2 linked regions of the Ovis aries genome follow. The protein of the gene in region 2 interacts with the protein of the main gene of each other region in a pairwise test. Links are inferred from orthologs where the notes say so. Each region holds a gene or a part of one and is shown on either strand. Other genes may lie near its edges.

Region 1 (5,259 bases), about 24 Mb from region 2:
GGGAAGGCTTCCTGGAAGAGGCTGACAACTGGTGGGAAAACAAGTCTGGTCTGAGGGCACAGACAGCCGGAGCGCAAACCCGACCGGAAGGAAGGCAGGGAACTCAGAGTCCATGGAGGGGCCTGGGGCAGGGCCACGGGCTGAGAGCGCAGAGACAAGGCAGGACCAGGAGGGAACTGGGGGCCATTAAGAAAGAACATCAAGTAATCACAGATGTGCCCTGTGGCCCAGAGCTGAGTTCCCCATCCACGCCAGGCATCCCGGCCGGGGCCAACTCGTCACTTTGGACCCAAGACTACAGTCACTTCACCACTAACACCAGCCCTAGGCACATGAGGACAGAAGTTCGAGTGAGACACCGTCCCACCCTCAGGAAGTTCACGGGGTGCTGGGGGTCACAGGGAAGCGGGGACAGGACAGGGAGCAGGTGCAAGGCGTTTGGAGGTGGGAGGAGCCTATTCTGCTCTGTCCACCTTAACTGATGAATCTCATTTACACCCGCCTCCAGACCATACCTTTTCTCCTGGAATGCCCCATCCCTCCTCTCTCCCCAGCAAGTGCTGGCTCAGGCTGAAGGATGGGGTTCAGACCTCGCAGGGCTCCCACCCGCTTCGCACCCTAACAGCCTGGACTTTAAGCAATCACTCCTGGTAATCACTGCATTAACCAGGAACACTTCTGTCCCTCTACTGAACAGTTCATCACAGCCTGCCCCAGTACTTGGCCTTTTTTCTGGTCCCCTCTCCTCCTCAGATTATAGCAATCATCATCGCCACAGTGCTCTCCAGTTTACAAAATGCCTCCAGGTATATTATTTAATCTAGTCTCCCATAATCAACCTGTGAGGTAAGTAGTATCCTTATTTTGCAATAAGGAACCCAAGGCTAAGAAAAGCTGGAAAACTTGCCTGGGACCACAGCCCCTCCATGTGCCTGGCTATCAAATTTCAGCCTCTTCCAGTTCCCATACCAGTGCTCGGCCCAGTACTCAGAAGCCACACAGAGCTGTGGTTAAAGGTTGGGATCACAACATGCTGTCTGACCTTGGGCAAGTTACTTAACTTCTCTGTGCCTCAATTTCCTCCAGATAAAATGTGGTTGATACTCACCTCATAGGTCCTTGTCAATATCACCTCACAGTACTTTACTGAAATTAAAGAAGGTGATACAATAAAGTACTCAGAAAAGTGCCAAACATAATTAGTTACAATCATCCGCCCACCTTCACTGATTCCATGGTCTCTTAACTCATTAAATTTTTTTTATAACTCATGTTCATATGGCTCAGACTGTAAAGAATCTGCCTGCAATGAGGGAGACCAGGGTTCGATCCCTGGGTTGGGAAGATCTCCTGGAGAAGTGAATGGCTGCCCATTCCAGTATTCTTGCCTGGAGAATTCTGTGGACAGAGGAGCCTGGCAGGCTGCAGTCCATGGGGTAGCAAAGATTCAGACACGACTGAGTGACTAACACACACATACATTGGGTAAGTAGTCATTAAACAATACACATTTTTGCAGATTGACTAAGGTGAGGTTTTTAGAATTGTTCTCTTTCCTTTTCTTCACTCTCTTATTGCCCTAATAGTTTCAACAACACAGAAACTCTTTTCCTGATTCATTCTACCTCCCTTACACACACACACACACACACACACACACACACACACACACACACACACGCCACTAGCTCAAATCTGGCCAATTATCAGTGCCCCACAGAATGTAAGATACTGCCTAACACTGACCTAGACTCTCCTTGTTGGGACGTCCCTGGATAGCTAGAGAAACTTTCACAAACCTAATTTCCATCACTATAATGGGTCAAACTCTTATGTGTATTTCTCTATTGCTCCAGTTTTTACTGGAGACTCTAAAAGGAATGAATTACCATTTATTTTCCTTGTCCATTACAAGAAAGATTTACACTGTTTCCTGGAGCAAGAAGCCTTGTGTGCCCAGGCAGCTAGACGAGGGCATAATGCCCATAGCAGACAAGCATCTTCCTTCCTTTCTGGGGTCCAATCCACAGAATTAGAAAATAAAGCTTAAACCCAGCCAGACCCTGGGAGAGAGAAGTAAAGAGCCTTCTCTCCCATCCCGTGTGGGGTAGAATGATGACCTAGGGAGGGGACACTGCCTACTTTACACCACCTGGACACACCTGTGAAGGGCCAGAGGTGCCTGGAAAAAGAAGAGGAATTAGTCTCCTGGGTTTTCATGAAAAGTTTCCTTCTTTGCAAGATTCCCTACATGGAACACTCGATCAGGACCTCACAATCTTTATCTAAAACCCCACTGCCCTTCCTTCACATGGTACTAAGTTTGGGGAGGGCGGTGGGGAGCAGAACAGAACGGGAGAACCAGCTTCTGGCAGCGGAAGCCCCCTGGCTCTTCAAAGGTTTCACTCCGAGAGCAAGAGTGAGCGCGAGTGAGGAACAAACTTGCCCATACAACTTCAGCAGTGGGATTAAAAGAAGTGCTGTGCCCTTCGAAATGGATTTTGCATACAAACCAGCCGATGAACACCATAAACATGTCAGCTTTATTCAGTCCAATCAATACACCAGGCATTAAAACTCTGAGGTAAAAATGGATTGTGGCTTTTTGTTGATGACAGTGAGGAATTTTGGCCCCTAGCCCTGCTCAGGCTGGACAATTTAGGGCAGGCTGCCTATTAGCTGTCAGGCACATTTAGGGGGATGAAATCAAAACCCCGATTCAGGGTTCTGGGCACCCCAGAACAACCCAACTTGACCCGAATCGGGGCCACTGGTCCAGGACCCTCAATATCTGTCCTTGGGCCGGCCCCCTCCTCCAGCCCCCGGTCATCTTCCAAACTCGGCCACACACCGCATTTCCTACATTCCTTCCTCCGGGCTCAGACCCCTTCAGTCCGGTCCTCCGAGGCCGACAGCTGGGGGCTGGCGTGAGCCAAGCTAGAGGCACAAGGAAGGGGATGCTAGGGACGGGGGGAATGTCAACGCAGTCCTGAAGTGATCGAGCGGAGAGTACAGGGCGCCCCAGCCCTCACATTCCCGACTCAGCGCCCCACTCTCTGCAGCCACACTTGCGACCCCCAGCGCCACCCCCCCCCCGCCAGGGACCTTCCCCAGCTAGGGGCACCCCTTCCATTCGGCCCCCTTTTCGCGTTCCTTCCCCTCTCACCGCCCCCGTGACCCCTGCCCTGCCCCGCCGGGACCGGCTCCAGTCGGTCGCACCGCGCGGACCGTGCCAGCTGCTCAGAGCCGCCCTGCCCTCTCCCCCAGGCCAGCCGGGATGGCCCCGGGGTCCCCGACCTTCCCAGACCGCCTTGACCACCGCACCAGATGCCCCCTTGCTCAGTCCTTCCCTGGGCCTGCAAGATCCCTACTCCCTTCGAGTCCCCTCCAGGACACTGCGGGATGCCCCAGCCGTGCACGACCGGGGGTGTCCCCCACCCCGCCCCGGTCCTCACCTGAGTCCGCTCAAAGCTCTCCCGCTCCGCAGCCTCCATCCCCGCGCCAACCCCACGCCGGCTCAGCACCTTCGGCAGGGGGTTGGGGACCTGCTTCATGGAGCTGGCCATCCGGTCCATGTCGCCGCGCGGAGCCGAGTCAGGGGCCCTCAGCCGCCCCGGGATCCCCACGGCGCCGCCCGCCCCTCCCTATCCACTGGGATCCGGCGCTAACGGGAAGGCGCCCGCCTCCCATTGGCTGAGAGCGCTGCTACTCTGCCGAGGCCCCGCCCCAGCCCAGAGGCTTCCCCGTCCGCCCCCGCCCTCTCCAGAGCCCCCGCCCCGGCCCTACCCTGCAGGGCGCTCCGGACCGTCAGGCGCGCCGGGACGGGCCCGGAGGCCTGTCGGTCACCGGCCTCCACCGCCCCTGGCGGGGGCGGGCCTGACCTGCCCTAGCCCGCCCCTTCCCCGACGCCCAGAGCGCGGCTCTCCCAGCCGCTGGCTGCACCCGCGAGCTCCCAGCGAGCCGCACTCTCCCAGTCCCCCCACCCCACCCCGGGCGCCGCGAGGTCCCGGCTTGGTTGGTGGGCGGGGGTCAAGCTGGCGGTGAGTTGGGCCTGCCGCAGGGAATCCGGGCCCGCGTGGGACTGGCCTGTTAACTCTTTTCGGGCCGGAGACAAGAGCGCGCGCGATGGACCAGCTCGGCGGCCCCTGTCCCAGGATGCGCTTGCCCTGAGGCCGGGCCTCCGCAGGTTGGTTCAGCGGGTCGCAGACCTGGCCGGCGTGGGTAGCGGCTCCCACCGCCTTCTCCCTCGTCCTGCCCCTGCCCCGAATCCCTGCCCATCCCTTTTGTAATGTTCGCAGACCAGGGAGCGCTGGGCTGGGTCAGTGGAAACTTCTCGACACCTTTACAAACCTCTCACCCTCTGGATCTGGTCAGGATGTATTCGTTGGTAGAAACCCATGTGGACATTTTAATATTTATCCCCGGCTCTGGGACACCCCTCCCATCCTGCTCCGTCGTCAGCCAAGGTACTGACGACAGGCGTAGGGGGGATGGAAGGGGGTGGAAGTAAGATCCTTAGCCGAGATGCTGAAGAAAGTTAAAAGTTTTCTGTTCAAATGCCAATTTTGATGTTTTAAAAATAAATGCTTTTTGCAACTCAAAGTAAAGAAAGGCGTTACTTTTTTTTTTTTTTTTTTGACTAAGAGCTTTTGATAAAAATTCACACATTCAATAGAGAAGCAGAAGAGGGGGTGGGCCTATGTAGGCACTGGGGAGCCTCTGACGGCTTTGCCAGCTGGCATCGTGTGGATGGGATTCTGGGGGCGACGGGAAGGAAGGGAACCAATGGGGAGACTCCGGCAGTAGGTGAGAGCCCACGAGGGCCTCCACTAGCAAGCCAGGAGAGAGTTCAATCCTGTGGGAGGTTCTGTGAATCAGTCAGTTCAGTCGCTCAGTCGGGTGGGACTCTTTGAAACTCCATGGACTGCAGCAGGCAAGGCGTCCCTGTCTGTCACCAACTCCCAGAGCTTAGTCAAACTCAGGTCCATCGAGTTGGTGATGCCATCCAACCATCTCATTCTCTGTCGTCCCCTTCTCCTCCTGCCTTCAGTCTTTTCCAGCATCAGGGTCTTTTCAAATGAATCAGGTCTACGCATCAAGTGGCCAAAGTATTGAAGTTTCAGCTTCAGCATCAGTCCTTCCAATGAATATTCATGACTGATTTCCTTTGGGATGGACTGGTTGGAGCTCCTTGCAGTCCAAGGGACTCTCAAGAGTCTTCTCCAACACCACGGTTCAAAAGCATCAATTCTTTGGCAT
Region 2 (5,243 bases):
AAAATAGCCTAGTTTGTACACAAGGTGGAGAACCAGCTGAGGAGGTCAAAGAGAGCTGGTCTTTCACGGTCTCCGGAGAAAACTATTCTTTACAATCTATTAGGAGGAAGAATTTAGACAAAAAGGGAAACTGGGATCTCCAACTCTCTTCGGGAGAGGAAGTGAGAAATTACACTAAGGTTCTTAGGCCAATGAACCCCAAATAAATTCAGCCTACCTCCGTTAAAAGCACAGAAGCTCGCAGGGAAAGATTTCAGAGACATGTTTTCACATTCCATCTTCCGAATTCAGTTTCTTTCACCAGGCAGAGATAAAGTGACCACAATCTGAGAGTCAGGTTCAAATATGGCTTAAGTACAAATTACAGTGATTTGTGGAATGGAAAATGCTTCCAATGGGGAGCTGGGCTGCGCCCCCAGAATCAAAGGGAAACAATTCCCCCCCTGGATTCCTGGTGAAACCACATCCCCAGTTTCCACATGAATGACGGTTTTTGATGAAACAGCACAATGAGAACATTAATAGGGCTGCATCAGGAGACAAAATTATTCGTACCCTGACTACAACTTCATAAAAAAGCAGGCACCATGACAAGAAGCCGCCAAATAAGGAAAACTGATGCTAGCTGTTTCATTCACAGGCTGAGATTATACCGGATACGCTTCGTTATTTTTCATGCTTTCTGTAATATTGTTATTTTTTACATAACTTTAAAAAATACCAATGCAGCCTTTATGAATAATCTCCCTGGACTCACGGATAGGGTGAGTCAATGCTAAGCTCTTACATTTACCTCAGGAACATTGTCAATTCTAAAACTCCATGAGAGGAAATTCCCTGGCAGTCCAGCGGTCAGGATTTCCTCCTTGCTTTCACTGCAGGGGGCATGGGTTAGATCTCCCAAAATAAATAATTTTTTTTTTTTTTTTAAAGAAAAGAAGAAACCCCCATGAGCTAAATAGCTTAAATTCTTCACCATTATTTTCCCTGACGTTAACACCCACGAAGAAGAAAGTGCCTCTGACTTTTCGGATCTCGGTGAATTAACTTCCTACCTACTAGGTAAACAGGGAGTTGCCACTGAGACACCCGTGATATTTACTTTCTTCTGTCCAGGCCCTAAGTCTTATGAAAGTACACACAGTTCTTCACAGAAATAATCTGCAGTCAGAAGACAAATTCATTGGCCACAAAAGTGTTATCCCGACTGCCCTGAGCCCCAGCGCAGGTGCAAACAGTAAGATGAAATTGTGAGGACCCAGGAAAGTACCACTTAGAGCTCAACCCCGATGAGTTAAGGAAGGCTACTTGCTTGGTGAGACGGACCACACTGCCCAGTGAGCTATTTTCATTGCAGTAAAAGCACAAACAAATAGAAGACAGGTCACAGTGTCAAAACTCTAAGACTTCGAGTCATGGAACTCATTTTTTTCCACCATCACTGTAGCTGGGGTTGATTCATTTTCAGCAGGAGAATTTTAAGTCCTTGATGGGCATACTCCCATTCTCAGAGTGGCACCATAGCACTGCCAGTCGTGGGTAAAAGCAAGGAAGCATGCCCTGTCTATCTCCTTGAAAATAAACTTGGGCTGGAAATGCCTTCCAGTTCCTTTGCTCTCAGTGGCTTCTCTTTTACTGTCCTCAACTATGGGCTAGCCTGCACTTCCTCCAAAGCTTTGCTGAGCCTCTTCTGCTTATTTGGAATACATGTACCTTCTATGACATGTATTCTCAGGTCTCTGCTTTCCTATGAAATTTTCCCTGACTTGTAGTTCACTCCTTTCCATTTCTTTCAATCCTTCCAGAGTAAAGGGCATTGCTGAGCACTGACTATCCACCTGTGTTTTTTTCCACTTTCCACTGCAGCATAAACCCCTCAGAACATAGAGACATTTCTTCTGTGTCCTTTACAAGGCTAGAGTAGCATTTTATTTCCCCACAACCATCCAGTAAAAGGGACTAAAGGAACAAAGGAAAGTTTACTCACCAGAGACAGTGAAATGACTTCAATCTAGTATTTAGAGACTTAAGAAATTGATCCTCCATCTCAGATCAATCAGTGAGTCACTTAATCCACAAAAACATTACAATGAGGATACTTTCACAAATGTGAATAAAAGCATCTATTATTCATGCCTTCAAGTAACAGGAAAGGGGGAAGATGGGCCCCTCCCATCGTAGATCTACAATAGACGTTTCTTAGAGAGTCTGGGGCACCTTTAAACCCCAGTGCAAGGCCTGGTTGAGGTAAGTCAGGAGCAGCATGGGTATTATTCTACGTCAGGTAGAGCCAAGTCCTGCTTGCAGGCCTCCTCCAAGTCAACTTCGATAAAACCAAACAGTCTGGTGGAGTCCCAGATACCAGCTCACGCTGGACACCACATCCAGGTGAGTCTCACTGTAAGAGTCAATCAGAGATGGCTTGGGCAGGGCCAGGGGGCGGGGTGGGGGGTAAGAAGATAGGGGAGGCAGTCAAGCACACACTAATGCAAACCACATCTTTCCTTAAAAGGGCCCCAGGGGAACTGCAGGGCCAACCTGCCTTCCAGACAGCCCTTGAACCAGCACCAGCTCACCCAGCCAAGGGCTTATTCCCCTTGGGAAGATGGGTGGGCGAGTCTTACTCTGATGCACTAAGATGGGAAGGCCCTGTGCCTTCCAGAATTTGGATTTCCCAGCCACCAAAGCTCAGTCCGACATGCAATGACATCAGCCCCACTTATCGGCAGCACAAAAGCCACCAGACAACTAATCAAAGACCAGCCGGCCTGATCCCTGGAATGCACAGCCGGTCCAGAATTGCCCATTTCCCCATCACCTCCTGTCCTGACCTTGATGAAGGGTTTCTGGCATAACAATGACTCCACTGCCCAGATCACAGTGACCTGGAAACCAAAGAGAAAGAGGCCACCTACCTAGCTGGGCGTGGAGGGCCAATGTCCACCTTGCCGGCCTGTGCCACTGGCATGTATCTGGCAGCGGCAGTGGACGGGGTCCCGGCCGACCCCTGCGCTCACAGGGTGCCTACCTTACCCGCTCCCCCCCCCCACAACCCCTCCCCGCGAGGGGTCTAGCCAGGGCCCTGGCTCCGTTTGCTCTGTGTCCGGAATTTTTATCTCTCGTGGGCTCCCTAGGCCCGCCGGTGTCCGCCGAGAGCGGTCCTGAATACTATGGGGAACCCCCTGGAGCGGGGGATGGCGGGGAAAAGCAGATATCGTGGACCCCAGAAGTCGAATTTCTGGGACCGGCGTCGGAAATCTGTTGGGCTTTTTTTGTTTGGTTGGTTGGTTTTGTTTCTGAATAGCCGTGCGATAATAAGTCTGGAAACTTCAACTTTGAGAGAGCAGCTACCAAGCGAGACGAAACTTTCTTGAAAAGCTTCGGGGTGTCCTCTCCCGAGGAGGAGACCCCCGCGAGCAACACGGGGCGCGCTTTCAGGTGAGGGCGGGATGACCCCACCGCGCGCGATCCGCGGGCGATCGGCTCACTTCGGGGAGCAGGAACGGGACCCTGCCTGGACTGCGGCGGGAACAAGCGCCAAGTGACTGGAAGCCCGGCCTCCCCGGCCCCGCGTGGAAGATCGCGGCGGGACTCCGACGCCCTCCAACCACTTCGAACCCCGGGGACCCGCCAGGGTTCCGGGACACCGCCACCACTCCCGCGGAGTCCGGAGCTGGTGCTGGCGCCGCACCGACCCCGCTCTCCAGCCACCACCAGCTCGACGCTCCGCGGATCAGCACCCCGGTCGCTGCCTCCTCCCGTCGGCGACCCCAGCCCGCGCCCCCGCCGCCAGCCAACGCGCTCCTCACTCACCGCCGCGCGCGCCGCCAGTCGAGCCGGGAGGTCTGAGCAGATGGAGCTGGGGGGCGGACTGGCTGGAAGACGGCGGGGAGGAGCGCCTGAAGGCGGGGGGCGGGAGCTGGACCGGCCGGGGCGGGGCGCTCCGGCTCCCGCTTCCGGCTTGTCCCCGCCTCTATGCGCCGCCTGGACCCGATCCTTCCCACTCGCGGGGGGCCGCCTCCCCCAAGCTAGAAACCCCATCAGGGACCTGCGACCCTCTGGCTTCTACCCTTCCCCTCCACCGCTCCGATCTCCCGCTACCCTCGGAACACCCCCTTGACACCCCTAGACCCCGCTCACTCCCTGGAACCCCCTAGTTTCAGCCCAGACCCCACTCTCAGAGAGTGTCTCCCCTTTCGGGTTCTGCTCCTGCTCGTGGATCCGCGCCACGTGCCCGCACAACCTTGAACTCCCCTCCTGATTTCCATTCCCACTCTGCTCTCCCCTGCGCCCCTGGGTCCCCATCTTCGGCATTTGTTCTCCTTCCCGGTTCTCAGACAATGCTGATCACCTCCAGATCCCTTGCCAAGGCATCCAGCGCTCCCTGCCCTCCGGAAGTCGGCCCTTTTCTCCCCATACCTCAATTCTGTGCATTCAGATGCATCCAGGCAACCCAAGAAAATCTATGTGCCTTTGGCCATGTGCCCACTTGCTCTGGCCTCAGTCTCCTGTCTGTAACATGGGCATAACAGTACCTGTCTCGTAAGATCCACAGAGATTTAGCTGAACAATGCAAGCAAAGCGTTCAGCACAGATTGTGCTAAATTAAACCTATCCTAGCTGCTAACTCGCAGAAGGCAATGGCACCCCACTCCAGTACTCTTGCCTGGAAAATCCCATGGACGGAGGAGCCTGGCAGGCTGCAGTCCACCGAGTCGCTAAGAGTCAGACACGACTGAGGGACTTCACTTTCACTTTTCACTTTCATGCATTGGAGAAGGAAATGGCAACCCGATCCAGTGTTCTTGCCTGGAGAATCCCAGGGATGGTGGAGCCTGGTGGGCTGCCGTCTCTGGGGTCTCACAGAGTCGGACACAACTGAAGCAACTTAGGAGCAGCAGCAGCTGCTAACTATTGGACTGGTCAAAAAGTTCATTCAGGTTTTCCCTAAGATGAAACAAAAACCCAAATGAATTGTTTGGCCAACCCAATACTTTGCATGCACCCAGGGTGTCCTGTGGCCCCTGCTACTTTCTCACTCAATCACTGAAAGCTCTGGAAATGAGTAACTACTATTTCAGTTCAGTTCAGTTCAGTTCAGTCGCTCAGTCGTGTCCGACTTTTTGCGACCCCATGAATTGCAGCACGCCAGGCCTCCCTGTCCATCCCCAACTCCCGGAGTTCACTCAAACTCAGGTCCATAGAGTCGGTGATGCCATCCAGCCATCTCATCCTCTGTCGTC

Evidence for each region.
Region 1: the proteins of LITAF (region 2) and HIP1 interact in binary tests that used the Homo sapiens proteins (3 or more experiments, as listed by UniProt). The link is inferred for Ovis aries from reciprocal best matches to the Homo sapiens genes LITAF and HIP1.

Annotation. Positions count from the first base shown.
Region 1 is NC_056077.1:34,460,238-34,465,496, forward strand, and holds the start of HIP1 (huntingtin-interacting protein 1), read right to left. Parts: upstream 3,597-5,259; 5' UTR 3,576-3,596; coding exon 3,456-3,575; intron 2,881-3,455; exon of another isoform or gene 1-2,880. UniProt on the Homo sapiens protein: Plays a role in clathrin-mediated endocytosis and trafficking. Involved in regulating AMPA receptor trafficking in the central nervous system in an NMDA-dependent manner. Regulates presynaptic nerve terminal activity.
Region 2 is NC_056077.1:10,788,276-10,793,518, forward strand, and holds the start of LITAF (lipopolysaccharide-induced tumor necrosis factor-alpha factor), read right to left. Parts: upstream 3,874-5,243; 5' UTR 3,712-3,873; intron 1-3,711.